Rhinolophus ferrumequinum: one gene and its partners. The protein of the gene in region 1 binds, or shares a complex with, the protein of each later gene. Links are inferred from orthologs where the notes say so. Each region holds a gene or a part of one and is shown in the gene's direction. Other genes may lie near its edges.

What was found.
Region 2: the proteins of KCND2 (region 1) and KCNIP1 are in contact, whole or in part, in a cryo-EM structure (PDB 7E8E), measured with the Homo sapiens proteins. The link is inferred for Rhinolophus ferrumequinum from reciprocal best matches to the Homo sapiens genes KCND2 and KCNIP1. Residues at the interface, in NP_036413.1 of Homo sapiens: Ala2, Val5, Ala7, Trp8, Pro10, Phe11, Ala12, Arg13, Ala14, Ala15, Ala16, Ile17, Gly18, Trp19, Met20, Pro21, Val22, Ala23, Ser24, Gly25, Met27, Ala29, Pro30, Gln33, Arg35, Lys36, Arg37, Thr38, Gln39, Asp40; in NP_001030009.1 of Homo sapiens: Thr60, Arg62, Glu63, Val66, Leu67, Arg69, Gly70, Phe71, Asn73, Glu74, Phe85, Ile88, Tyr89, Gln91, Phe92, Tyr101, Leu105, Phe109, Phe122, Leu126, Leu129, Leu130, Lys137, Thr141, Leu144, Tyr145, Val162, Ile165, His185, Phe189.
Region 3: the proteins of KCND2 (region 1) and KCNIP2 are in contact, whole or in part, in a cryo-EM structure (PDB 7UKH), measured with the Homo sapiens proteins. The link is inferred for Rhinolophus ferrumequinum from reciprocal best matches to the Homo sapiens genes KCND2 and KCNIP2. Residues at the interface, in NP_036413.1 of Homo sapiens: Val5, Ala7, Trp8, Leu9, Pro10, Phe11, Ala12, Arg13, Ala14, Ala15, Ile17, Gly18, Trp19, Met20, Pro21, Val22, Ala23, Ser24, Gly25, Pro26, Met27, Pro28, Ala29, Pro30, Trp55, Asp57, Arg61, Arg100; in NP_775283.1 of Homo sapiens: Arg112, Gly113, Phe114, Asn116, Glu117, Cys118, Val123, Phe128, Ile131, Tyr132, Gln134, Phe135, Phe136, Tyr144, Leu148, Phe152, Phe165, Leu169, Ile172, Leu173, Arg180, Trp183, Ala184, Leu187, Tyr188, Met201, Met205, Ile208, Met211, His228.

The regions. Positions count from the first base shown.
Region 1 is NC_046309.1:23,541,201-23,550,807, reverse strand, and holds the start of KCND2 (potassium voltage-gated channel subfamily D member 2), read left to right. Parts: upstream 1-5,353; 5' UTR 5,354-5,526; intron 5,527-6,264; exon of another isoform or gene 6,265-6,426; intron 6,427-6,505; 5' UTR 6,506-7,461; coding exon 7,462-8,576; intron 8,577-9,607. UniProt on the Homo sapiens protein: Voltage-gated potassium channel that mediates transmembrane potassium transport in excitable membranes, primarily in the brain. Mediates the major part of the dendritic A-type current I(SA) in brain neurons.
Region 2 is NC_046307.1:36,988,670-36,998,329, forward strand, and holds the start of KCNIP1 (Kv channel-interacting protein 1), read left to right. Parts: upstream 1-4,882; 5' UTR 4,883-5,145; intron 5,146-9,660. UniProt on the Homo sapiens protein: Regulatory subunit of Kv4/D (Shal)-type voltage-gated rapidly inactivating A-type potassium channels. Regulates channel density, inactivation kinetics and rate of recovery from inactivation in a calcium-dependent and isoform-specific manner.
Region 3 is NC_046299.1:23,019,761-23,029,468, forward strand, and holds the start of KCNIP2 (Kv channel-interacting protein 2), read left to right. Parts: upstream 1-5,818; 5' UTR 5,819-6,003; exon of another isoform or gene 6,004-6,085; 5' UTR 6,086-6,096; coding exon 6,097-6,169; intron 6,170-7,564; exon of another isoform or gene 7,565-8,385; intron 8,386-8,618; coding exon 8,619-8,915; intron 8,916-8,949; exon of another isoform or gene 8,950-9,708. Other genes in the region: ARMH3 (armadillo-like helical domain-containing protein 3), read left to right, coding at 92-208, 2,430-2,522. UniProt on the Homo sapiens protein: Regulatory subunit of Kv4/D (Shal)-type voltage-gated rapidly inactivating A-type potassium channels. Modulates channel density, inactivation kinetics and rate of recovery from inactivation in a calcium-dependent and isoform-specific manner.

The DNA.
Region 1 (9,607 bases):
AGTTGTCTCATCAGAGGTTCTAAGAATGTCATCAGATACACTAAATTTGTCTTTTGTAAAATATGTGATCTAGATATTAGATGTGTTTATCACTCTGGTAAGTTAGCAGAATTGGTTAAGGTTTAGCATGAACAGATGTAGTGCTCCCTTGCTCCAGGACCACAGATGATTTCCTGCCCTGGCAGAGACCTCACAGAATGTGCCCTGGGGGATGAGCACAATAGTTTGCACCTGTCTGTGCTAATTAATCACCAGTACTAACAACAACAACAAATTGGCATGGAGACTTTCCTATGGCAGATATTGGTGTGTGTATAGACCTAAAAGGATACGTGATTTAGGGTCAGAACACCCAAGAATGAGTCAGCTTCTGCCACTTAGTTATTGGATATAATCGTGGAAAGTCCCTTAACCTCCATGAGCTTTGTTTCCTTTTGGATAAAATAAATGGAACAATAACAACCACAGCACAAGGTCATTCTGAAAATCAACTGTAAGTACAGTGTAAGTAATGTAAGTACATTGTCCAGTGTACTATAAGTACATTGAGAAAGCACTTCGTACACAGCTATTCAAAACGTGGATCATTTGTCTCGTTGTTAAGGTAATTGGCTTTCCATTGCACATCTTGCTAGTAAATCAGGTTGATTCTCTAAGTCTTTTGGAGAGTTATAATAATAATCTACAAGGGGAAAAAAAGATGCATATTAGCTATCTAATTACAGTGTTCACTCAGTCATTCAACAAACATTCACTGTATTTCCACTACGTGCCAAGTGCAATGGCAGATATTGAGGTTACAGAAATAAAAGACCACTGCTTGCCTTCAAAGACGTTACAGTCTAGTGGCTAAGAAGAGGGAGAAACAAAAATCTCATCTAAGTTCTAGTCTCTTATGGAACACTTAACATCATTTGAAGAGGATAGGTGATGGTTCCTGGAAGATATGACTCAAGCTGAGTACCTAATATGAGAAAAAAGATGCATGAACCATGATCCAGAATCAAGATAAAACACACCAAATTCTGCAAACTGAAAATAACTGAGCAATACTGTGAAGTAAGCTAATGTTAAGATAGCATGAGATGAGGCTAAAGGGTAGAGGGAATTGAGATCCTGAAGGTTTCTATATTCTCTGCTAAGAACCGAAAAAGATGGAAGACTTTTGAAAGGGGTAGTGACATGATTACAGGTGCATTAAAACAAACAAACAAAAAAACCAAACCAAACCAAAAACCACACTCTAAATAAAAGGCATAGATATGGCAAAAAAAGAAAAAAAACTGACCCTATCTTCAGGTGACCTGATTGTTTACATAGAAAACCCAATAACTAATAAAAAGGTTCAAAAAAATTGCCAATATAAGAGCAATACACAAAAACCAATTGCATTTCTATACTCTAACAATGAACATATGGAAACCAAAATTAAAAAGCACACACACTGCTTTTCACAATTTCTCTAAAGAAAATGAAATACTTAGTATAAGTCTAATAAAACATGTACAGGATCTATATCCTGAAAATTTCAAAATGCTGATGAAAGAAAAATAGAAAAGAGCTAAATACATAGAGAGACATCCTGTGCTCATGGATTGACTCAACCTAGTAAACATGTCCACATTGATTTTAGATGTAATGCAATGCCTATTAAAATCCTAGCAAGGTTATACAATTGTGTGCGTGTGTGTGTGTGTGTTTATTTATTTATTTATTTATTTATTTATTTATTTATTTATTTATTTTAAAATTTATATAAAAAGGCAAGGACCTATGAAAGCTAAATCAATTTTGAAAAAGAGTAATTAAGTGGAAGGAATAATTTTACTTGATGTTAAGTGTTACCGTACAGGTGGTCTAGTAATCAAGAAAGTGTGGTTTTAGTGAGGCGATAAACACAAATCAATGGAACGAAATAGAGAATCTAAAAATAGATAACAGAAAATGTACCCAACTGATTTTTGACAAAGTTGCAAAAGCAATTTAACATGGGATCAATAGGCTTTTCAACAAATGGTGCTGAAGCAACTGGACAGCCATAGGCAAAAAAAAAAAAAAAAAAAAAAATACAAAAAAAATACTTTAACCTAAACCTTAATACCTTACACAAAAATTAACTCAAAATAAATCATGGACTTGAATTTAAAATGTAAAATTATAAAATCTTTAGAAAAAATAGAGACACTCTTTGGGACATGGAGCTAGGCAGAGTTCTTCGAGTTGATACCAAAAGCATAACCCATAAAGGTAAAAAAAACGATAAGTTGGAACTTATCAGAATTAAAATGTTTTGATTTGCAGAAAATCCTGTGAGGAGGGTGAAAAGACAAGCTAGGAAAATAGGAAAAATATTTGCAAACAACGTATCTGACAAAGGTCAATTATGTAGAACATACAAAGAGCTCTCGAAAGTCAACAGTATAAAAACCATTTTAATAAAAATGGGCAAAAAACAGAACATATATTTTGCTGAAGAATATACAGATGGCAAATACGCATATAAAAATACGCTCAACGAAATTAGCCATTAGAGAAATGAGAATAAAAATCACAGTGAGATATTACTATATACTATCAGAATGGCTAAAATGAAAAATAGTGATACTGCCACGTTGATGACGATGCTGAGAAACCAGGTATTTTACTGGTGAGATACAAAATGGGATAGCTACTCTGGAAAATATGATGGCAGCTTCTCATAAAACTAAACATACTTATCAGACAATCCATCAATTGCACTATTGGGTATTTATCCCAAAGAAATGAAAACTTATATTAGTACAATAACCTGTATATGGATGTTTATAGCAGCTTTATTCATAATAGCCCCAAACTGAAACCAACCCAATGTCCTTCAGTAGGTGAATGATTAATCAAAGTGTGGTACTCGTCAGCGATAAAAAGAAAGAACCATGGATACATGCAACAACTTGGATGGATCTCAATGTAATTCTACTGAGTAAAATAAGACAATCTTGAAATGTTACATTATTCCTTTTATGTAACATTCTTGAATTGATAAATTATAGAGATCAGATTAGTGGTTGACAAGGGATAGAGAAGGGGAGGGAGGGAGACAGCAAGGCTAATAAAAGGTGATTCCTGTAGTGGAAATCTTCTCGTGCTTTCTGTGACAGTGCTCAAACAAATCTACACGTGTAATCAAATGACAGAACTAAGTATAACACACAAAAGTTAGTGTATGTAAAACTGGTGACATCTGAATAGACTGGTGGATTTGGTGTCCAAGTCAATTTCCTGGTTGTGATATGTTACTGTAATATGCTAGACGTTACCTTTGGGAACACGTGGTGCCAGGATTAAGGGGTCTCTATTATTTCTCATAACAGCGTGTGAATCTATCATTACCTCAAAATAGTTGAAAAAATCACTTTAGGTACAGTATAAGGACAGATTGGTGAAGAGGGTGGAATACGCAAGACTCACTGGGTCATTGGCTGAGTGTGTGTTTGTTGGGGGGAAGGAGTGAAGAACAGGACCTGGTCTGTGATGACCACCGGTTTCTCCCTGAGGCTTTGTTCATCAGGAGAGAAAACAGGACTAGACGTTTGGAGAAGAGGGATGACTGAATTCAATTTTGATCTTGCTGAGTTTACTTTCCATCAACCAAGCAGAATATATAAAATGAGAATTCCAGAAGGACGAACAGGAATCCCTGGGAAAGGGAAGCATATAACGTGTTCTGCTAGATTCTGTACATATACTCTTCATATAGCTTTCAGTGCATGAATGAATTAAAACAGCAGAGTCACCAGAGTATCACGACAAGGGAATTTTTTAACTCAGAGGCAAGAAAAAACATACAAAAATATCTGTGGGAATTCCAGATACAGGCTGGATGAAAGGATTTGCATTTCCAGTATTCATTAAAGTAAAAAGGAATTGATATTGAGTATCCTTAGAGTGTGCCAAGTTCTACATTGTTGAGAAGTATTAGCCTGTTTAATCCTCATGATAGGCCTAAAAAGTTAAGTTTTATTATCTACAGTTTCTAAACAGAAGTTAAGTAATTTGCCAAATGAAGCAAAGCCTATGAGTAATTTCTTGGGCTGGAATTTGAATTTAGATGAGTTAAACTTCTAAACCCACATTCTTTCCAGTACATCAAGAAGTTTGGAGAGAATGGGGGAGAGCAGATCGTAAAAACTTAAAACAGATTTTATATCCTTGCTTATTTAGGGGTTTTTGCAGAGTTCAACATTTATATTTGTAATTGTTCAGTTTCCTACAGGGAAGATTTAAAGGCTCTATTTTGGTTGCTTGCCCCTCCTCTACAGAATGGCCAGCCAGTATGGCACCAAATGAATAATCATGGTTCCCCACTCTCTGGATACATCTGTTATGGTGGAACCTTATAGACTGGGCTAGGAGGGGTTGATTTTCTTACAGTAATTGTCCCCTCCTTTTTAAGTAGTCCCCTCCTTTTTATTTACCAGTTAACATAGTTCTTCTTTTTCAGGTAGGCAGGCTATGTCGATTCCTTAATAAGCACCTTTCACCTCAACTAATACAAACAGATAAACAGCAGGAGTCTTCAGGTCTGTTTCCAAACTTACATGATGCATTAGTTCCATTAACTTCTACTATGGGATTTCTTAAACTTCTACGCCACTAGGCAAGTCAACAAAAAATACCTTTCTATCTCTACAGAAAAATCTTGTACATTATAAGGTTTGTTTTTCTCCGTTGGTTTTCAACATAATCTATTTTTAGTTCATATATTTTCTTTGAGGTACTCTATATGATATTTTGAAGGTTAACACATCACCCCTCTGATCTCTAGGGCTTGAAAGTCAAATCAATTCAAGACTATGTACATCATGGTCCACTTAATTTCCAACCCAAAACAGCCAAACCAAGTCTTGAAAAGGTAATTTTCAGGTAGAAATTAGACTTCTCTTCTTAATCAACGTACATGAAGCTTCACTATTTCAAAAGGCCTTTACTAGTACTATTATTCCAAATTTATCTAAATTTAATTTTCAAAGGCATTTCAACAGGAAACTGCACATCTCATCCCATAAACATCAAAATGCAGACTCAAGCCTGAGTAGTGTATCTCATATAAATACTAACAAGATGGGCAGGGAGTGGGGGATACGAGCATGATTTTGTGATCTGATCCTCTTGGCTCAGTTCATTTTGATCCTTCACCTTTCTAAAGCATCCAAACCTTAGGGATAGATTTAACTTCTCGCCGTTCACGCCATCTAGTGGTTATAAATGGTATCTGTTTGGTTTTAAGGAAGAGTCCTAATGACGGGGGGGCGGGGTACACGAGAAACAAAACGGTTGGCCGCGACAATTTCCTAGTTTCTCACCACATCACATCACTTACCCCTCACCAGGACACCTTTAACTACTTGAACCGTTTTAGATCTGCGCGCAGATGCGCAGAGAGAATGGAGGGGACGCACACACAGACTCAAGCCCCTGGACGCTGACATTTAGAAAAAGGTTCTAAATCCTTACTGTCATTCGCAAAGGACGGGAAAAGGAGTTGTGGTAAGACCTAGACCGAGGAGACTGCCTGACTTTTCGGCAAGTTGGATAGATGACGTATTTACCCCTGCAACGTTAACATCTGGTTTGAACAAATAAAAAGAAAGAGAAAGAGGAAAAGCACTTAAAAATTCCGCCGCGAGGCTTTGCAGAGCTTGCTACCCGGTAGTCCCCAGAAGACAACCAATTCCTGCGCGTTCCGCTCCGCTCACCCTCTTTCTCAGCTTCTCTTTCACCTTTTCCCACGCTCGCCTTGAACCGGGACCCAGGGAGGCAGAAGCAAGGCACCGGTCCCCGTCCTCCTCTCCTCCCCAAGCCTCCGCAGCCGAGCGCGTGCAGCTTCCCTTTGTTCATCTAGGCTCGCTCTCCTCCCCGGCAGATCCACCTGGATGCTCTCCCTCGGTGACATTTTGCGCCGGGGCTGGTGGGTGGCTGGGGTGGAGCGAGAGCAGCCCGAGGGGGCGGGGGAGGAGAAAGGTCAAGCCGAGGGAAAGGTGGGAGACGCCTTTCAGAACCTGCGTGGCGGGGCGTGCGCGCGGTTATTTATTTTCTCCTTGTTTATCGATCGCACGAGCAGAGCGGCGCGGAGAGCCCGGGGACATGCAGGACCACCCACTGGCGGGGAAGAAGCGAGACGCCCCCCCGCACCCCCGCGCTGCTGAGCGCCTCCCGCCTCAGCGCTCCGGCGATTGCCCGCGCCAGCCCCGGCCCCGCCGCGCCGCCGCCGCCCGCCCAGCAGCCCCGCAGCCCCGCAACCCCGCAGCCCCGCACCGCGCCGCTCGGGCCCCAGCGACAGCCGCGGTGCAGTAAGTTGGCAGGAGAGCGTTCCCTCTGTTCTCGCCTCCCCCGCACCTTTTGAACTTGTTGCTGCTGCTCGGCTCGCCTGCGCCTGGCTTTTGGAAGGTGAAAAGGAGGAGGGAAGCACGGAGGGATGGGGGAAGGGGAAGAAGAGCTAGCCTGAGCTTTATTTATGCTTCCTCAGCGCCTCGGATTCGGCTGCTCGCGAGCTGCTCTCTCTGCTTTTCCCTTTCCGGGTGCACCGCGAGGAGAAAGTCTCTATGCAACTCAGCCCCGGCGCGCACTTTGCCAGGTATGTACCGCGGGCGAGGCGCGTTCTTCGCGGAGGCAGATGCTGCTGCCGCCGCGGCGGCGGCGGCTGCCAGCTCCCGGGCTCCGTAACTGTCACACTGCACCTGAGCTGAACTTGAAAAGAGAGTGAAGGGGCGATTGGGCGAACGCTTTTAGCAGACGCTAGGGGTGCTTGTAGACGAGGGGGAGGAGGATCTTTATTAACGCACCCCACCGTGCCCACCGCACAGCACCTCCATCTCTGCAAATACGGCCCAAGGGGTAGAGGCAGCGATCAGATTCCCAAAGAAACGTGGGGCAGCGGCTGTGACCGCACCTGGGAAGCTACAACAGGTCGCCTTTTTGAGACTCCTTTGGCGGGAAGGTCTCCTTGGACAGGGAAGGTTTGAAAGAGCTAAAAGGGAAGGTGGAAGGGTGCCCTGATTCGTCAAAAGAATACCACTAAGTGGCTGCCCTTCGTTTTCTCTACCTTAAACGACGCATACTGACCCCACGTTAAACAGACTGTGTCAGGAGAGGAATCAGAGACACCTGTTTGAAGAAATTGCTGCATCTAAAGTCACCTGTACACTTATTTGTTCCAAGACAGGCCTGGTGTGACTGCTTGACAAGGTTTAGTTAGGTTTTGTTGGGCGTGATTGTCAGAACATTGTATGAAATACCTGTCTTTGAGGGAAACTTACCCTTCTGAGAACTGTGATTTCTCTAGGAGCTCTACCTTGGAATAAAGGTGATATCGCGGACCACAGTTCTCTGTAATATTTGTTTGACGAGAGCAAGTGGGTGATTGGGGCTACTTTGACCCACTAGGAGGCCTGATTGCCTTTCCGGCCTCCACCTCAAGGAACCATGGCGGCGGGTGTAGCAGCATGGCTGCCCTTTGCAAGGGCAGCGGCCATCGGGTGGATGCCTGTGGCCTCGGGGCCCATGCCAGCTCCCCCAAGGCAGGAGAGGAAAAGGACTCAAGATGCTCTAATTGTGCTGAATGTGAGTGGCACCCGTTTCCAAACATGGCAGGACACCCTGGAACGATATCCAGACACTCTGCTGGGCAGTTCTGAGAGGGACTTTTTCTACCATCCTGAGACTCAGCAATACTTTTTTGACCGTGACCCAGACATCTTCCGCCATATCCTGAATTTCTACCGCACTGGGAAGCTCCACTATCCTCGCCATGAGTGCATCTCTGCTTACGATGAAGAACTGGCCTTCTTCGGCCTCATCCCAGAAATCATTGGTGACTGCTGTTATGAGGAGTACAAGGATCGGAGGCGAGAGAACGCGGAGCGTCTCCAGGACGATGCTGACCCCGACAACACCGGAGAGAGTGCGCTGCCGACCATGACCGCTCGGCAGAAGGTCTGGCGGGCCTTTGAGAACCCCCACACCAGCACCATGGCCCTGGTCTTCTACTACGTCACAGGGTTCTTCATTGCCGTCTCGGTCATCGCTAATGTGGTCGAAACCGTGCCATGTGGGTCTAGCCCAGGTCACATTAAAGAACTGCCCTGCGGGGAGCGGTATGCAGTGGCCTTCTTTTGCTTGGACACAGCCTGCGTCATGATCTTCACAGTTGAGTACTTGCTTCGCCTGGCTGCAGCGCCAAGTCGTTACCGATTTGTGCGGAGTGTCATGAGCATCATCGATGTGGTGGCCATCCTGCCTTATTACATTGGGCTAGTGATGACAGACAATGAGGACGTCAGCGGAGCCTTTGTCACCCTCCGGGTCTTCCGGGTCTTCCGGATCTTTAAGTTTTCCCGCCACTCCCAAGGCCTGCGCATCCTGGGGTACACACTGAAGAGTTGTGCCTCAGAATTGGGCTTCTTGCTCTTTTCGCTTACCATGGCTATCATCATTTTCGCTACAGTTATGTTCTACGCAGAGAAGGGGTCTTCCGCCAGCAAGTTCACCAGCATCCCTGCTGCCTTCTGGTACACCATCGTCACCATGACAACACTAGGGTAGGTGCCATCAAGGGAAATGGGATGGAGGTTGGATACCTGGTGAGGTGACTGGATCCCTTAAAGTTATAAAATAAATCAGAGGAAATATGTATATTTTTCCCTTTCCTAAATGGGTTTAGGAAAGCATTATGGTTTGGAAGAACCTTTGGATCTACTAAATGGGTATGATATTGAGATTGATGTACCCAGGGAGTTGCTGGCAAATGTTGAGTATTGATGCCTGAAAGTGACACATATAACAAAGAAATTTTAAAATTCCTGAATATAGGGAAAGATCATCCATATTATATGTGTGAATACATAAAAATATAATGACATTGAAAGACACAAAATGTGTGCCCCAATAAAGTTATGAATATGCACAATATGTATTGAAATGCCTAGAGAGTGCTTCAGTATATTCAAATGAAAGTTTCCATGTATATTTGAAGTATTATTTTCATATGAATAGATACTTTTGGCATACATTTTTCCTTTAAGAACCATAGTTCTTATTTTAAATTTTAAAGTATAGATTATAGATATCATTATCAAGGGATTTTGTAATATATATGTGCATATTCATATATATATGTATATATATGCATTTTCATTATGGCTGTTAAGTAATTCGGTTTTTAGAATATCAGGGCTGAAACTGATCAACTCTACAAAATGCAATGGAATGATATTTGAAACATATTCAAGACTTTAGTTTCTTAGTTTCAAATAAAAAGAAGCAAATGACTATCATCCACACATTTTTTTTAGAAACTACAGATCCCATCAGGCAATAGGCCCAGGACCATTAAATACACAAAGAATGTAGAGCGGTATCTGGTGAGATTGATGGTCACCAAGAACTGGTTGCATTATAGAATACTGTGCAATCTGATTTCCTTCTAGCATTCTTGTGTGCATTGTTTTATTTGGGGGTAATGGTGTTTTGCCAGCAAAGGGGCATATTTCGAATTAATGTTTTTTAAAATAAATTTTAAACTAGAATTAAGATTTCTTTTTAGATTGTAGAAAAAAGGAAAGATATGAAA
Region 2 (9,660 bases), on another chromosome or scaffold:
TATGGAGCACAGAGATGTCAAACAACATGCCCAAGTTCACACTGCTCGAAGCCAGGATTCGAACCCTGACCCACACTCTAACCACCACACTATGCTCCTTGTGGAACATCTCCACCTGGAGGTTCTTCATCCACCTCAAACTCAACAGATCCCAATTGGAACTTATAATCTTTTCCCGAAGATTGATCCCCTTCTATATTCAGAAGAGAATCCAGGATTGGTGGGGCCTGAAGTTTGTATAATTGGGCAGAAAGGGAGTCTTTAAGAAGAGTGAAAGCGTGAATACAAAATCAGTTTCAGGCTCTTGAAAGTGGCCAATAAAAGTGAGGAGTCCTGACACGCAAACTTAGTGTCGTGGAGAACCTCCATCCCCATCCACACATGGTGTATTTCAGTACTAGCATCTAGTCACTCGAGCTGGAGACCTGGGCGCCTTCCTCTCCTTTCACTCCCTCCTTCCATACCTCATCCACAAAGAATCCAGGATGCCATTCTGTCGACTCCCTCTTCCTCAGATCTCTGGTGTCTCTTTCACCCCCTCTTATCAGCCATCTTCATGTGGTTCAGACCCTCAACTCCTCTCACCTGAACTACTGCCATCGTCCCCCCGCCAGCACTTCATGCTTCAGCCTGGACTTTCCCCAACACATTTCCTGTGCTGCAGCAGAAACACACAACTCATCAAATCTTCTATGACTTCCCACTGTCCTCCAGCTAAATCTAACCTCTTTAGCTTCGCTTTACCTGACTCTCTGGTCAGCCTTGCCAGGCTTACTTCTCTCCTTTTATTCCTTTCCTCAACAAATAATTCTTGAGTACCTATTCTTGGGTATTACTGAGTAATACTGAGTACCAATGGTAGAGTAACTAGATGCAAAACACTGGCGCTGCAGCAGCAGACACCACAAGAACTTTCCTTTCCCATGTCTCCACCACAGCAAACAGCTTACAGTTTCCAGACTAGGTAAGGCTGTGTTCAGCCCCTTTGCATTTTCCTGGGCCCCAGGGAAGGCTCTGAACTTCACTGATCATCTGACTCTCTCCGTTTATCATTCGTGGCTCAAAATGTCATCTCCTTAAGCATATTTCCAGATTATCATCCAGCAGCAAAAATGGATCCCTTCCTCCTTTCTACCCCAAATGTGCTTCTTTCTTCTAAACCTTGTACTCTACCAAGTCATAGCTACCTGACTATGAGAAGATCTCCCTTACTTCACAGTGAATTCTTTGAGCAAAGAAACAGTATTTTATTCACTTCTACATCTCCACTTGGACCTGGTACATAGAAGAAACCATCTATCCATGCATCTATTCATCCACCCATCCATCCATTCACCCATCCATCCATCCATCCATCCCTCTCTATCCCTCCACCCATTCATCTAGCCATTCATCCATCTACCCACTCATCCATCCTATGAATATTTCTGAATGTCCTCAGTGTGCCAGCCATTTTTCCAGGCTCTGCAGATACAGAGAAGAACCAGACAAGTGAGGGCCTTGCTGTCACTAACACTATTTTCTAGTGTGGAGCATAGACAATGCAAATAAAAGAAGCGAACGAGCAAGACAGATGAGTGAGACATACTGTAAAGTAAATTAACCAGAGTGATGTCACAAAGGGTGCCACTTTAGAAGAAATTGTCAGGTCACCTTACGAGAAGGTGGCATTTGTGATGAGACCCAAATAGTAAGAAAGGAACAGCCAAACAAAAAGGGGCAGAAACTCCTGATGTGGGAATGAGCTTTGCAAAGATCAGAGAAAGCTGGAGTGGGGTGGGAGGTGAGGCTGAAGAGGTCCACAGGGATGGGAATATGCAGGTATCGCAGGCCACGGAAAGAAGTCTGGATTTCATTGTACGTGAGAGGCATAAGGAATTGTCTAGTGAGTGAACGGGTGAGTGAATAAATAAACACCAGGTGTGTGCATTGTTTTGAATTAGTTTGTCTTTGGAATGTCTTTGCATTGAGCCCTCAGCACCACCTTGACTGGTCCTCTCCTCTGACCACCTGGTTTCAAGTGAGACAACCTGGTGTCAGGTAAGACAACTTTTGTCCTGAGCTCCAGGTACGTTGCTGTTTACAAACCAAGGTGGCCACCCTGGCCCCAGTCTGCATCTCAGAATCAGGGCAGAGGGACAGAGAACAGCCTTGCCTGGAAACTGTCCAGAGCTAGCCCTTACCTCCTGCTCCAGGATTCTCACAATCCCTCAGGGACCCTGGGTGAAGAGACAAAGGGTTGGGGTGAGAGCAAGAGGGTGGGGACGGACAGTGTGAGAACATGGAAAACAGAAGCTTGGCAATAGATCAGATTTTGGATCCTTTCTCTAGCACTTATCTCTACATGTATGACCTTGGACAAGTCATTTCCCCTCTCAGCCTCAGTTTCCCCACCATGACATAGGGACACAAGGACCTATGTCATTGAGTTTTGGGGGAAAATTAAATAAGACAGGTTGGTGAGATAATAGGTTACGACAAACCTTTGCCTTCCTTTGCTTGCTTTAAACAATGACCTTGTTGCCTGAAAGTTAAGTTGTATCATGAGAAAGTGCCTTTGTTCTCCACTCCTGTTCTATCAAAGTGAAAAAAGGGCAAAAATCATGTGGTGAGTCTCAGTTCCCCATTTTGTTTATGTCCGGTTTCTATTTCCCATTTGGGAAAAATGATAGCAACAACAAAAAAATGCAAAACAAAAATCGAAACTGATTCACTTCTAGTTCCCTTAAGATCCAGCCTGACAATCCCGATTATAACCACCCACAGAACTGCATCTGAAAACAAGCAGCAGAGTAACAGGTGCTGTGGCCTCTCCCTGAGGCTTTAGAAACCCAGGAGGATGAGGGAGCTGCGAACTCAAACTTGGGGCTGTAGACGAGGCCTCCCAAGGCGTCTTTGAATGTGCCTGACAAAATACCTTTGCATTTCGGGACAGCTAGTGGGAGCAGATAACTCAACTTCATGTAGCTGAATTATTTTCTGATCTCATTTAGTTCTTTTTTTTTCCTTCTCCTTTAAAAAATGCCCAAACAGACTTTGGGTCTCACTAGACCATCCAGAAAGAGAGATTGATGGTTTAGGAGCAGATTTTCTGAAAGTTCTGGTCCTGGGAAAGCTCAGCTCAGAAAGTTGTTGTTTTACTAGGAAGCCAACTGTTGAACACACATGTACCCACACATGCACACACACACATACACACATGTGAGCAATACACACATATGCCTTGGCCCCAGTTCCACCCCACTTCCCCAACCCCCAAGCCCAGGAAGTAGATTTCTCAACCAGCAGGGTTTGGTATGAGTCACAGGCAATTCCCTTTTGTTCAGGGCATAAGACCTCCCTCTGCTCTTGGGACTGAGAAGGACATGCCGGCCTGATCCCCAGGGGAATTCCCACTTCAGTACCGTGGCGGGGAGTGTGGGAAAAGAGGACCAATAAGAATTGTGTGGATTCCTGGGAGGAGTCTGCCCGAGGTCACACCATGGGTGGGGATGGGGGGATGGGTAGGTGCGTGTTTACTCAAAGGGGTGGGATTGGAAGGGAAACTGAGGCCATTAATATTTGACACCACAGCTGGTTACTGGTGCTTGCAAACTTTCCTCCAGGAGCTGCTGCCTTTGGGGAAAAAATAAAGGAGAATTCCAGGGCATGTTCCCAGCCCTGCCTGCCTCCACCCTCTGCCTAGCCCTCTCCCCCTTCCTCGGTCCAGAGGGAAAGTGGGGAGATCTGTTGTTCCCCACAATATTGTCCTTTTCCCTCAGGTCAGGTCGGACTAAGCAAAGAAGTGGGGCAGGAGCCCTCCCTCCATAGAGTGTCATGGTGGGAGGAGAGGGAAGGTCCTGCTGGGGGGCCATTCCCCAGGCTCCTTGGGGGATGGGCCGAGGAGTCTCCAGGAAGGCTGGCATCCACATCTTCTGTTCTCTTTACTCTCTCAAGTGTAAATGATGCTTCCTTGTCCTTGCAATCCACCTGCAGGCTGCCTGCCACCCTTGAAAGCATAGAAAGGAGAGAGACAAACCAAGCAGAGCCAGTGGGCTCTGAAAGTAGCAGGGCTCTGACTAGTATGAGCACCGCCCTGGGGCCAGCTCTGCCTGCGGCCCTTCCAACCCAGGGCATATGGAGGCTGCCACAGGGCCATTCTGGTGACCAGAGGGGCCTGTCTAACACGCCATGGGGCCCGGGACTATCTCAGGATACAGAGGGCTTCCATCCAACACTGACACCCAGGGTGGGATGGTGGACGTTAGTCCCAGACAACAGGTTGGCACAAAATGGCACTGGCCAGCCAAACCGGCTCATTCATTAAACAGAAGACACTTCACTGACCCCAGAGATGAGGCAGACACCTACGTCTTGAGTTTTAGGAGAAAAGAGAACATGACAAACAGATCGTCTTAGCGAGGGTTAATCAGAGAAGAAAATGTTTACAGCCTGTCTCCAGGGTTGGGCACGTGTTGGGCCCATTTTGAGTCCAGAATCCTGCTCCTTGGCTCCCCCAAGCCCAGTGCCAGGAGTCCAGGACGGCCTGTGTGCTACTGGCCACATGTCAGAAAGATTCCTCTACTCCCAAGGTGTGGTGCTAACCAGTGCTTCCAATCAGATAACCTGAAGCCCAGGAAACCTGCTATGCTGCCCCTGGGCCCTTGGGTTAACTGAGATTTAATTGTGCTCTGCCCGGCAGAGGGCAGAGCAGCGATGCTCTTCTCCCCTTCCCGCCTCCAGGGCCAGTGCTGCAGGAAATGCTCTTTACAGATAATGTGGCTTTTCTCCAGGCGAGGCAAAGCTGAAAGCCTGATTAGCTGCTGGCCCAGGTGTTAGGACTTTGAGGACCATCGGCAGGAGACGCAGGCAGTGGGCTCGGGACTGGAGCCTCCTTCACCGGGCTTCCCCCGCCCCGCCATCCCTTACATAGGGAGGCTGGGAAAAGGGTCTGAGGCTCTCCTGAACACGTGATCAACACCACTGTTTCCTGCTAAGATTCCTGCAACATGGTACAGCTTCTCCCCTTTCAGCAAAGCAGGCTCCAGGTGTTCAAAACTCGAAAGAACGAGGCTCCAGTGATGGTGTTCACTCCCTAGGAAATGTGCTGTTTCTCTGGAAATCTGCAGAAGCCCAAATGCACACTGAGCTAAGTCAGCAGAGCAGGTCAGTTCTGTCCGTGGGAAGAAAAGTAATGCGGGATGTGGTTTTCAGCTCCTGGGGTTTCGGGAGTCTGAAGCCTCTCTCTCCCTGCCCTCGATGCACTGTTGTTCATTGCAAAGAAAACTGCCTTCTCCTAATATTGCCATTGACTTTCCTGCAGCCTCAGTTTATCTGTCAGTGAAATGGAAATCCTAATTGTAAACTATTTGCCTACGGTCTGAGAGAGAAGAGTGTGACTCTCTTGGGCTTTTCTGTGTTCCCTCCTCCCCGCGCATTGCCCTCTCTCCTGCTTTCTGCTTGTTCCTTCCCTTTTCCGCCCATTCTCCCAGCCCTCTGTCTCCTTTCCTCTCTGTCCTCCTTCCAGGCAGGAGATGAAGAGTACAGCTCTTTCTGGCCAAAAAAGTTTGCTTTGTGAAAACACAACCAATTTATGATCCTGCCTTTCCCAGCTGAGGAAGATGTTTATTTAGATTTAGGAACATGAGGCGTCGCTGTGAGTTTCTGAAGCCAGGGGAAAATTACAGTGATGCATAAGAGTGCTGCCCTCACGGAGGTGCTGAGCTGGTGCTGGGCCCCGGAGGCTGGCCACGGAGCTCCGAGGAGACGGGCTTGGGGAGGGGAGGGTAGAAAAGGAGGAAGTCTAATGTCCTCCTGACTTCAGGGATTAATGTACTCAGACATTCACAAGCCAAGAAACAGAGACAGAAGCACAGAGGGAAAGGGGGACAGAACAAGACACACATAGAGAGAGACAGACAGAGACATGAGAGAGGAGACAGACCAAACATCGAAACGGTAAGGAAAGAAATGCGACACGTCTTGCATATTTTTCAAAATCATAAGATTTGAAGGGATAAGAAAGGGTCACTGTGGGGACAGAGCCAGGAGGGCAGTTTCCAAGCTCTCGGCCTCGCGTGGAAAGGTGCTGGCTCAGGTAGTAAATGGCCATCAGCTGTGGCTGGTTGGCCGTCAGCTGTAACCAGTGAGCCATTGGCCACTAATATAACTGCTGTGGCTACGCTAGCAGCAAAGGGGGGCTAGAAAGAAGATGGTGGCTGAGCCTGCAAGCGCGGATTGCAGTTAGGATAGCGGGTTGCGGACAGTGTGGATCCAGCCTCCAGTGAGACTATAGTGCCGCCAGCGAGAATATAGCAGGATGACTCCCCTACCTATGGCTCCGTGGGTGTTCCTTTTTGGCCTCACCCTGTCCTGTGTTTTTATGTGGGGAGCGGGAGCTGAGACCCCGCAGGCCGCCCCGCATGACAGTTACTATTTCTTCATTATACATCACAATTTTTGAGAAATGTTTCCTCATTTACGCTTAAATAAAAGAGCCCCCACAGCAGGTGACTGGCAACGGGGGATTGTTCCCTAAGAACTAGGGCCAACTAAGCAGCAAGGTCATGATCTTTGTTCTTGATGTGCAGACGTCTTGTCCCTTCTGCATTTTGCCACAGTGCAGGGTCACTAAGAAGTACAGTAGCCCCGACACTGAAGCTTGTCCTGGTGGCCAGGGCATAGGTTGATCTGTCTGGGGTGTCACATGTCCCCCGTCCCCTGGATATCTCTGTCCTACTGCTGCCCCATGCTGGAGATGGCACGTGAGGGGGGTGAGTGTGGGCCTGAGATTATACAGCTCCTGGTTGGAAGCCTGGATCTCCTGCTTATGAGATGTCGGTCTGAACCTAGCTTTCTAATCTCTCAGAGCCTCGGTTTTCCCATCTGGACAATGGAGATACTGAAATCTCACAGGATTAGAAGAACCATTGATGATATTAGTATAGTACTAAACAGGGAAACAAGCAATGCTTTCTGCCCATAACTGACACACATTGGGCACTGCCCTGGGCCCGTGTTTTAGCTTCATTGTCCCAGTTCATCCTCATACCATCTCTACCACAAACACCCACAATTTTCTTTTAGGTGACGCTTAGAAAGGCAAAGCTGAAAGTCACTGCTGACAGGTGGCTCCAAAGCTCTCTTCTATTAGCAGCCAGTGGTACCTCACAGGTGAGCAAGAGACAGGTGAGCAAGAGACGTGAGCTCTTGTCCTTCCCCCGCCTGCCAATGTTTTGGTTTTCTGTTTGGACAGGCCAGCTGTCTGCAGGTGGAGCCCAGCCGTGCAGAGTGACAGAGCCCTGGAGAAGCAGCTCGCCCTGGCAGGGAGGTAGAGAGCACCTGAGTCCCAAATCTATCTGCCAGTAGCTGGCTAAGGCATCTTGGGCAAAGTCATTGTATTTCTCTGAGGCTTCTGATTTCTCATCTCTGAAATGGAGATGGGGTGACACTCTGGGTCCTCCCGCCCAGACAGGCTGCTGCGAGGACCCACAGGGAGGCAGCATTATTGGTCCAGAGAGAAAGCACAGCTCACAGGACGGGCAGAATTCTCTTCCTCCCTCTCAGCCCCACCAGGAGCCTCACCTTGACCTGTAGACCCAGGGGGCACAAGAGAGAAGGCAGGCCCAGGCCAGGCTGTGATTGTCTCCAGACTTTGGTGGGGGAAGAAGAGGGACCACCACCTGGAATTTTCTCAGGTCTGGGACATAGGTCCCCACTCGGTTGGAAACAGTCAAAGTGCAGGATGACATGCATCAGACACGTGGGGCTTCAAGTCCTTTTCCTGTCATTTACTGTGTGACCTTGCATAAGCCAGTGTCTCTCTGAGCCTTTGTTTCCTTAGCTGTAAAATGGCAGTAAAACTAGTGCTGCCTCCAAGGGTGGATGTAGTAACATAAGGCTTAGAAAGTCCTTGGCCCAGCCTGGAGAACGGCACATGCTTATCCAGGCTGTGGCCTTCGCTCCTGCACCTTTGCAGAGACCAGCGGACCAGCGGCCATGCTCTCCACAGCCCCATCCCCACTGCACTTGGGACCTGACACCACTGCCCACAAGTGCCACTGGCAGGGTGCACGAAACAGCGTTTGAAAAATGAAGGCTCTGTGCTGCTCATGGATTTCCTATTTAAATTTACTGATTCCCTAATTATAATCTCAGCAAGAAAGAAATGACTGAGGACCAGCAGGGGTTGTCAAGGAGCAATTAGTTGGCAATTTTCTTTTTTCCAGCGGAAGCAAAAGGGGGTTGGGGGGGACGGGTGAAGGAGCTCAGATTCCAGAGTCCTTCCCTTTATCTGGCCTTTCTGTTCTCTGCCTCCTCTGCACAGTTGAGTGACTCCCTCGGAGCCTCTCAGCACTTCCCTGGAGGGTGGGCCACAGGGCGGTGCTTGAGGGGTGGTGGGGGTTGGGGAGCCAGCAGTGTGTGGGGCGGGGGGGACTTACCAGTAGAATGGCAACTCTTTGGCATTTCCTACAGAGCAGCATCTGCCGCTGAGGTTGGGTGCTGGCAGCTGCAGGGAAGGGGCCTGGGCGATTCTGACAGACAGGAGACTGAGAGACCCTGGGGTGGGCTGTAGAGCCCTTGAGCCCATCCTGTTGTTCCTCAGGGCAGTAGGAGGCAAGGCTGGGTCCCACGCCCCGTACTTAGCAGTTGGTCATTGTTGCTTTGCATGGCTGTGCAATTCAGCTCATCAACCCTCAGGAGCCTGGGGACACAGGCTTTGGAAGTCAGTGTCACATGCAGAAAAGGACCACCGGAGATGTGCCTTGTCCTCTGCATGAAATGACCCAAAACAGTGCGTTGTTGCTTACAGAGTATCTGACCCAGAAGGACTCTGAGCAAGCAATTTCTGAGCTCTAAGAGCAAAGCTGTAGAGTCAGACTGCTGGGCTTAACACTCGGATTCTACCGCCATTATTAGCAAAACAACTTTGGACACAACTGTGCCCCTCTGTGCCTCAGTTTCCTCAGCTGTAAAAATGAGATAATAGAGCCATCTTCCTGGGAGGATAACCTCAGATTATGTGCAAGTGCACTGCACACACACGCACACACACATGCATGAACACACACGCATACACACATGCATGAATACACATGCACACACACGTACACGGTATCTCACAGAAACACATGTGAGCTGCTACTTAGCCGCTGTTTTTGAAAGTTTACTACATATTAGGCACAATATTGAGTGTGGTAGCTGGTTTTCTCATTTAATCCTCATCACCATTCTGACTGGCAAGTATATTTTTGTCCTGTTTTACAGAGGACGGAGCTGAAACATAAAGAAATGAAGCACCTGCTACAAGGTTAAAGAAACAGTAAGGTTGGAACCACTGGTTTATTCATAAAATATCGACTGCTCTCTGTGTGCCAGGCTCTCTATTCCAGGCATTGGGGATTTTGTGGTACACCAGATATAGACGAGGCTCCTGGTCTCCTGGCAATCACGTCTAATTGGGGGAGGTTTGGAAACAAAGGCGTCTGACCCCAGAGCCCACAGGTCTGATCACCCACTGGTACTGCCTCCTCGATAGGTGACGGGTCTTATCGTTGTCAAGCACTCAGCCTGGCCTTTCCCGTCTCCTGTCCCTGTGTCTGCGTTCCTGGGACTCTGTACTTGGCGGGACTTCCCGAGAAGAGCTCTGATGGGGGAGCAGGTTGAGGGTGGGCGCTGCAG
Region 3 (9,708 bases), on another chromosome or scaffold:
AATAAATAGGGCAGCAGGCGGGGCATGCATTGGAGCCAGGTGACCTAAGGTTTGCATGGCCTAAGCCTGCCTGGTCTCTGATGTCCCCCAGGTGCTAGAGGTAGTGCGAGCCAACTATGACACCCTCACGCTGAAGCTGCAGGATGGCCTGGACCAGTATGAGCGCTATTCGGAGCAGCACAAGGAAGCTGCCTTCTTCAAAGAGTTGGTGAGTCTGCCCTGCTTTGGTCTCTCCTTGTGTCTTTTGGGGGCCCTTTCCCAGCCACTGGGTTCTACTGTGCAAGTGAGCATCTGGGGAACAACTACAGTTTGCCAGAGGCTGATGAAATAAAAACTTGAGGGGTCTGTGGGGATTGGGTATGTGACTTCTCTCCCAAAGCAGTCCAGGACCAGGCAGTGAGAGAACATACTCCCCAGGGTACTGGTGCCAGGCTGGGAAGGGTGCGAAGCCTGAAGCAGCATTGCCCACCTCTCTTGTGCAGCCAAGGAGATCGCCCTTGCACAGCTCCTGCTGGGCCTGGGGTTTGACGTGTGTTCCCAGTGGCAGCTCTGGCTCATTACTCCTTATCCTGTTCTCAGAGCAACTAATGAGAGTAATTGATTCATCTCCTCCTTACATAGTTGCTTCCTAAATTTCTATCTGGTTCCTGGTCTGAGTGCCCTCCCAATCTGTTCTCCAATCTTCACTCCTTACCTCCGCTCCCACTTTCCAACCCAGCTGCCTGCAGCCCCCATCCTTGCCACCTGAATGGAACTAGTGAGTCTTTGCTCTGCCTCCTGCCCTACTCTACTGTCCAGTCAGCCTGCTCTCCCCACTGATGGTCCCTCTTCTGCCCTGTGCTCAGAGCTTCTCCCAGGAAAAGCTCAGCCTCCCTGTAGTCCTGCCAGTCCGCCTGCATCCTGGCTGGAGGCTGAGCCCAGGACACACAGGCCTTGCACCTACTTCCCATGTCCTCAGACCTCCCGCTCTGGGCAGAAATCGCATCAGCCCAGCTTTTACTGCCCCGTGCCGAGTCCATGATAAAGACGCTGGAGTTTAGCTCATCTGTCTTGTGCTAAACACAGCCCGTCTCTGACCCTGACATGACATTGCTGGGATTTTGGATTTCCCCGGGGTACAGAAGACATGCTCTGGGGTGACTTCATTGGCAAAAGGGAAGCCATTAGTGTAAGGAGATAGCAGAGTATTTTTAGGGGGTGGTTAGCAAGTCTTGAAGTTGATGTGGGAGAACTACCGGCAGCCAAGAGTTAACAAAGAGAGTAAGTTACTGGGAGATGAAGAGGGCGGTGCAGGAGAGAGGAGCTCTTTCTCAGGCTCCTTGGCACTAGCCTCTGGCTTACTCACTTCTCCTTATATCTGTACCTCTGGCGCAGGGAGCAAAGAGGGTCTGGTTGGGTTTGGAGCTAATGAGCTTGAGCTGCCTGCTGTTCGCCATGCTGCCCTTTCCTCTGCTTCCAGCCTGGCCACTTCATTAAGCTTCCCACAGCAAAACAGAAATCGAAGGAAACCTCCCTGAACTTTGGGGCCCAGCACAAACATTCTTTTTCTCCCTTCCCCTCACCCCCCAGTTTGTCTGTCATACAACGTTCACATCTATTTCCCATGAACGAATCTCCTTCCAGAGTTTGCTGGATCGCTCTTAGAAAGCACTTAGAGTGGGGAGGTTGGCCCTCTGGCCCTTCTCCACAGGTCTTTTCCCCGCTGACAGGCACCGCTTCCTGCAAGGTTCTCCATCTACGGGTAGAAAGCATGTTAGATGAGCGGGGGTGGGGGACACAGCACGGGTATACCCCAGACTTGCTTCGAAAGTGGGGAGGCATCTTTGTGGTATGGAAAGAGCGCCAGACTAGAAGTTAAGAAACCTGGGTCCTGCCCCAAGCCTGGGACTCACCAGCTGTGTGACCTGATCCTGGTCATTGGCCTTCTTGGGTTGTTTGCCTGCCATCTATGCCAGACAAGGGCTGCATCTCTACATGTTCTTTCCAACCCCAAAAAGTAGATCAGTACAAAGGGGGAGTGAGGAGACCAGAAACACATCCAAAGGGAGGTAGCTCCAGAGCGTGAGTCTGCTAGTATCGGTTTCTCCTGCTCCATTAGACCACTGACCAGTCCCTTCACCTGGCTGCATGGCCGAGGCAAGGCAGACGCCCTCCTTCCCTGTCTGTGCTTGCTTCTGCCTCTGCCGATGCTCACATGCTCATCTTGTATTCACTACAGTTTGTCTCTCAACCTCTCTTCTTCTCACAATCACGGAACTGTTTGCTCACTTGCCTGCAGGGAGGATAGCTGTTAAGGGTTGATTTCCTAAGAGAGAAACTTCTAACACTGCATTTTGGCCTTGTGCCTCAGGCACTGCCCTCTACTGTTTGTAACTGACTCTCCTTTCTCTCTGCCTGTGCCCTCCTACTTTTCCCTCACCCTTTCCCAGGTTCGATCCATTAGCACCAACGTCCGGAGAAACCTGGCCTTCCACACACTCAGCCAGGAAGTCCTGCTCAAGGAGTTCTCCACTATCTCCTGAGGCCACGCGTACCTGAGCAGCCACTGACTGCCCTTACCCATGAGGCTTCTGGGCTGGAGGGGGAGTGAGGGGACGGGACAGGGGGCTGTCCCCAAGGTTGCAGAACAACACAGATACTGAGTTCTCTCGGTGAAGGCCGCACTTCAGTGGAGCTTGGACAGCAGGGGCCAGGAGGGACAAGCCAGGGATAATCTTATTGGGGGAGGGGTGGGTGGGCACAGGGAGAAGCCTTTAAGAACGTGGGGACTTCCAGGGTGGGCTCCCTGGACACCCCCTCATATTTCCAATTGAGATTACAAGTGGTGACTAATGTCTAATTTTCAGGATCTGTTAGGGCAAGCATTAGGGTGCTGCCAGCCCCCTGAGGGTCAGTGGCTCTCCTAGGCTTCTGAAAACAGACTAACTTCCGGATGGACGTGGAACCAATTCTGCTTCCTTTAGGCCTGGGGCTAAGCTGGGCTTGACATTTGTATCCCCTGCCTCCGCTGGCACTCTGTCCAATTCTTAGGACCCTTAGCTCAGGCGTAGGATAGGGTAGGAATGGGGTCCCTTATTTCTGTTTTCTAAATCCAGAGCTGATTCCCCTGGGAGACTGGAGATTAGAATCCACCCAGTTCTCTGCTGCCTGGCCACCACCTTCTGGATTTGATTCTTGCTACCAGGAGTACCTGTTAGCTTTCCCCTGCCTTCCAACCCATTGACTCATCAGCACTATAGGGTCACAACCTCAGCTTTTCATTTTCAATCTGGTTTCAACTGTCTTTAGGGTGTGTGTGTGAAATAAACATTGACAGGTTTTTCTGGAGCCCTCAGGTGCCTACTTTGCTGGTCCTCTTTCCAGCAGCTTCCCCACCTCCCTAGCCACCCAGTGCTCTGGAAGCCTCTCCTCCCTCCCCGTGTTCCACCCCCTCACCCTGCTGTTGTTTACATCCAGCCTGCCTGAGAATTTCCTCTGGGGAAGAATCTGTTCCTGCTGTGGTTTGGTGCCTGGGAGGGAGAGAACCTACTGGGGGCAGCTATCCTCCATCTGCAAGAGGCCAGGTGAGCATCATGGAGAGGCTACTGGTATTCTGGGCGGAGCCACAGGCAAGGCTCCTGACATTTGGGAAGTTGGCCTGTGAATCCTCCTCTGGACAGCCTCCCTGGGACCGCTGTAGGCTTTCCTTACCCCACAGCTGCCCCTGAAGTAGCTGCTGCTCTGAGATCCTCCCTTTCTAAAGTACTTTCTAAAGCCCGCAGGATGGCAGGGAACAAACAGCACAGGAAGAATCTGGAAGTGCAGGAATCCAGCAGTGAAAGCAAGTCTGGGACCTCCCCAGCTGCTATTCCTCTTCAACTTCAAATCTCTTTGGGATGCTTGCCCTCCCTGGGAACCAGAGTTCTGGCTGCAACATTGAGCAGATATGCACTATTACCAGAGAATCTACCAACATGCTGCCATGTAAAGATTCTTATAGAGATCAGAGGCTGGGTCCTTCTGATCACTGGCTGGATAGTTCAGCTTGGGGCATTTAGTGTTTTCCACAATGATAAACCCTAGAGGAACTGGAGCTGGAAGCTGGTGGCAAGTTGAAATTATTAAAAATTGATTTGTATGGGACAGTCTTTTTAGTGTCTTTTTTTTTTAATCTCCGTTACCCAGTACTCATTTCTCAAAGACAGAGTTAAGGTCATCTTCCAGGTGCTGGTCCCATCTGGCTAGGGGACCCCTGCCTATCCTTATAGACTCTCATCCTGAGTCTTCTGGGCACAGAAAATCAGTTCGGTTCAGGAAGGTGTAGCCTCCCTTGCATTCTCAGTGGAAGGAGGGAGAAGAGAATTCCCTAATCACCAAACTTGGTGTTGAAGAGGCCAGCCAGCCTATTTGGGGTGCTTACGGATTCCTGCCAATCTTTCCGATGAAGTGAATAAGGGCAGGTCTAGGGCATGAGGCAATAAGCAAAGGATGTCTTGCCCTCCATGGTAGGGCCCACCTATCTCTGACCCATTTACATACACCTTATCCTAAGAACTCCAAATGAGTCCCATTCTCTTCTAGAGTTCAACCCCAGAAGGAGCTTCTATGCTCTGTCCATGCCCCAATGTCTTTCCCAAGTCTGGAAGATCTTTCAGTGCCAGGGGAGAGCCAGGAGCAGGGCATTGCTCCCAAAGATAGTGTCCTTTGGCTGCTTGTCCCTCTCTCATGCCTGAACTCCCACTATAATTCCTCCTGGGTTAATTGAATCAAGCGCTTGGAAATTAAATCCAATTAAAGAGATTAAATGTATTGGGGTTACTTTAGCTGAAGCTTTCAGTCACCACAGGTTACTCCTCCAGAGGAGCCATTGGGCGGGTAGGGATTACTTGGGATACTGCCACCTTACTATCCAGACCCCCCAGACACTTCCCTCCCCTCCGTCCTCATGGTGGTGGGTGGGGGGCCCTTGCCTAGGATCCCAGGCAGCCTCCTGGGGAAGGTCGGACAAACAGGCTCAGTCAGTCAATAGCCATTCCCGGGAGCCAGAGGTAGTCAGCTTTATGCAAGCCTCTGACTTCAGAAAAGGAGCTCATCTAAGGGAATGGGGCTCATAACAAGAACATGTATTCCCCACTTTGGATCCTCACCCTTAGTCGCTCCCCAAATCTTACTTAAACAGAAGGAATCTAGGACTGAGCATGTGACGAGAGAGAGAAGGGCAGGAAAGTTGGGAAAACACACAAAGTCTTGAGAAACTGATCTGTTTCACTCTTTTCTTCCCAGTTGGCCCATGGGGGTCATTAGATCAGGGAAGAAGGTGCTCAAAGTGAATGGGGCCCAGAGCCAGGGTCCTGGAGTGAGTGAGGGTTGGGGTCCTTCTGAGGTAAGAGAAAAGTAGTCCACCGGCTTGAGATGAGCCTTGTTGGAGGCCTGGTCGTCCTTTCCTCTGCATCTCCAGCCCCTCCACGCAGGGTGAGCACTGGCCGGAGCCACAGAGACCCATAAACGGGAGAACAGGAGAATATAGGGGCTAACGTGGAGACTGACGAACGGGGGACTCGGACACATACCCCGAGTGCCTTTGAATTGAGGGCGGGGTTTCCTCACTGTGGGGCCTTTCTGACCCTGCTATCCTGTACCCCAAAGACCCATGGCTTCAGGTTTAGGGGGTAGTGTTGCTGAAGAGCCATTCTCCCTCACTGCTCTTTCCAGCTTACCCTTTCACCGGGTGCCTCCCCCGAGCTGCAAAGAGGAGGGGGCGGGGGTAGGGGGAGCCAATCCCGGCAGCGCCAAAGGGGGGAGGCGGCGGTGACAGCCGCGGGGAGGGGGCGGGAGGAGAGAGGCGGCTCTGCTCCGGCTCTGCGCTCAGCTCGGTTCTGTCTCCGGCTCTGCTCTCACCTACTGCCCAAGCCTCGCTCCTGCTCCTGCCCCACGACCCCCGGGTGGGCCTTAGACCCCGACCAGGTCCGCAGAATCTCAGCCCCAGCCGGGACTGTTCCGGCCCGCAGCCCCTGCAGCACGCTACGCCGCCAGGGGGCGCCGTGTGAGCGCCCTATCCTGGCCACCCGGCGCCCCCTCCCACCGCCCAGTAGGGACGGGAGTGGGGCGCCGGGGGCCATGCGGGGCCAGGGTCGCAAGGAGAGTTTGTCCGATTCCCGAGACCTGGACGGATCCTATGACCAACTCACCGGTGAGTGGGTGAATTGGGGGTCGCGGGAGGGAGGGTAGATTACATCCCCCCAGACCCTTAAGCCTCTGACCCTGGCCAAGCCCTTACCCACACTCTGCCCCATTTCCAAGCACCCTCCCGGCTGTTCTGGGCCCCAGGACACTGGAGTTCAAAGCTTGGGTCCCACGGGTTAGGGGTGGTGGTGGTGGCAGGAGGTGGGAAGAGCAGGTGGGCAGGTGGAGAGAGGCAGCAGGTGTGGGCGGGTGTGACACCATGCTAGGAGGGTGTCTGGAGTGGGAGGTGGTACGTGCGTGAGCGCCTGTCATTCTTTGTGTGTGTCTGTGTGTATATGTGTGTGTGCCTCCCACAGCTGGTTGCCATGTGCCCTGGGCTTGGTGACAGCCAGGGTGAGTGTGATTATATGTGGCTGTGCAATTGCATGATCTTGTCAGATGTTTGAGTGAGGTTGTGTAGCACCCTGATTGTACTAATGAAGTTGTTTTGACTATGTGTTTCTGTTCTATGTGCAACTCGACTTTGAGTGTGATTCTGTGTGAAGTGGCATGTGACTTCCAGAACGTGTTAGGGCTTCACTTTATGATGACCTGTCTCTTTGTAAGACTTTGTGAACCTCCTGGGGCAAGGTGGGTTGTGTTATGTTTTGTGATTGTGAGACTGTGCGGATTATGTTGACATTTGATGCTGATTGTGTACTTTCACGTAGTGGAGTCTTCAGTGAGGCTCTGTAAGTGTCTGTGGTATGTCTTACCCTAGCTACTTCTCTGGCTTCCTGGTGCAGAAGGGGGTCTGTAGTGCATACCACTGCTTCCCCCATGTATTCTACAAATAGCCCAGGTGGACCCAATGAGGGACTCTAGGGTCCAGCTGCCCAGCCTGGTCCCCAGGAGCAGCACCTGGACAGTGAGGAGGTTTTGGTTAGTGCTGGGTCAGCCCCCCTATAAAGTACTCAGAGATCATTCTTACAACTGAAGCTCTTTCAACCCCCCAACAACCCTCCCAAACTTCACCCAAACCTGGAGGAAAGCACACCCTCTGGCCCCCCCTCCAGACCCAGAGATAGAAACTCTAGGCCTGGGAGGTGCCATATGGCCTCCCTTTATAAGTGACCCCCCCAAACCACTTTGCTGCCCAGGCATCCTCTCTCTCTCCCCCACATTGGGGAGGTATGTGAGACTAGTACATCTGTGCCTGTGCACATTCCTGGGTTGGTAGGCAGATCCATGTTTTTGTGTGGGTGACACCATGTGCACATTTCCATGTTCGTGTGTGTTTCTGTCTCTCATTGTACAGCCTGCCCAAGAACTCCAATAGAGAATGGGAGGAGGAAGACCGTCTCACCTGTGTCTGAAACAAGTAGGGAGGTGGAGGGAGGATATGATCCTTGTCTGTCCTGAGCGGAGTGAGGTTAAGACTTAGGGATGGGGGAGAAGACTAGGATTTAATGCGTTTAGAAAGTGTCTCCCGCACTCACTGACCCTGGTGTGGTCCTAGTTCCAAAGCCAAGACTCTCAGAAGGGGGAGCCTTTCCACCCAGGCAGACCCCAAATGTGTCTCAAACTTGGATGGACTTTAATGGTCCAACTGTCTAGCTCTGCTTTGAACTCTGTTCTCATCATCTCAGGATCCTTGACAGTTGTAAGAGCCCCAGGGCCCTCCTCAGCACCACATTACTCAGTGTTTACTTCCTGCTTTGATTCTCTCCTTTACTGGACTCATCCCCTATCCACTTGGCTATTTGAATCAGAGATTAATTAGGTGAAGGAGGGAAGCACTTGTATTGGAAGGTGCAGGAATGGAAGTGTGAGTACCAGTTATGTATGACTTTTGCTCTCTCTGGGCCTCACTTTTCTCATCTGTATAATGGGGGAATACTACTTCCTGCCTGCCTCCCAAGGGAAATAGAAAGGTCAAATATTGACAAGCGTCAAGGATCGTTTTCCACATCATGAGCCTCCTCTCTGTAGATAGCTCTACACACGATTTGGAAAGAAGAAATAGGACTACCAGGAGCTCTCCTTTCCAAGGAGGGCTTATCTTTTATAGCAGGAGACAAATGGGGTTGGGACGCCCCCTATGTTAAAGCTCAGGGTGCTCAGGGTTCTTGGAGACGACCTGAGCAGAAGCCTGAAGGGGAGTCGTTGTCCGCGGTGCTGAAGAGCGCTCCGGGAGGAGGTGCAGCCCAGCCACGGAGATCCCAAGGTTCCTTCTGTGTGCAGGTGGGATTCCTGGGATTGGATATGGGGGATAGTCTTTGGCTCCCATAGTCCCAGCCCATCAGGCTGTTAGGGAGGGGGCCCTAAAGTCATACCTCAGGGCATCCTGGGTTCTTCCGACCGCTTTCCTTACCCACTCCCATGCCAGGCTCAAAACAAAGATGGGGAAGACTTTTAAAGGGGAAAAAAGTCCGTGAGCCACCCCGCCCTGCATCTAACCCCTCTGGTCTTCCCAGCCCTGCAGAGCAGCTTGGCAGCGCGCGGGGTGGGAAAGGACAGCGGATCAGCGGTGTTTCTGTCCAAGCTGGAAGCAAAGAAAGGACTGGAGAAGATGAGACAGTTGGGACCTGGCTGGCCAACGCCTGAGCTCGGATCCCTGGGCCTGGGATCTTGGAGTCGCGTTCCTCTGGCCATAAATATTGCTCCCCGGACTGGGGCGCCCCCGTGTGGTCTTAGAAGAGCCATGCCTGCAGAGTTGATTCTGAATGGGGATGTCTCCAAATCAAGTGGCAAGATTTGCATGGAGTTCAGAGGTGATTCTCCAGAAGCCTCGTAGATGTAGGATTTTAAGCCAAAAATACGGGATCCCATTCGGAGGACTGGGATGTACCTGCTGTAGGTTAACCCAGCAGTCTGGAGGCGTTAGTGGGTCTTGGAAGGGGTTTACTTTGCGTGTAACGAGATAGGGATGAGTCCGGGAAAGGGGTCAGGGCCGGGAATGAAGGGAGGGGAGCTTCGTGACGCATTTGGCTGGCAATCAGCATATGATGGGAGAGTCTGTAAATGCACTGGAGCAGGACAGAGGGACACAGAACAGAATCAGCTATGAGAAAAAGGGATTCGGTGCAGGAGACCGAGACCAGTAGGGACACATCCCTGCCGCCTCTTCTTTGTCACTCATATACACTGGCCAGTTCCTCCTCCTCCTTTCTGCTCCCTCTCCCATTGGTCCCGGAAGTATGGAAGTGTGGGAAGTTTCCATGACAACTGTGGCCTCTTACCCCTTCTCATTTCTACCAAAATGGGAGGAGGAAGGGTGTGAAAGGCAGAGAAGGAGGGGCTGAAGAAGGGCAGTGAAAGATAAAAATTCATTTCCCCTCCACCTCCTTTCTCAAAACCTGTGAGTGCCCCCTTTCCTCACCAAAAATCCTGAAAATGTTCCAAAAAAAGGCTGTAAGGAGAGTCCGCGCTGCCCCCGCCCATCCCTCGCCCCAGTCTAGGAACTTTGGGGGCGGGTGCTTCAGATGATGGGGCCAGGGTGTGTCCCGCTCGTGCGGCCAGGAGAAGGCAGGGAACGGAACGAGACTGCTGTCTGAGATCCTGGTC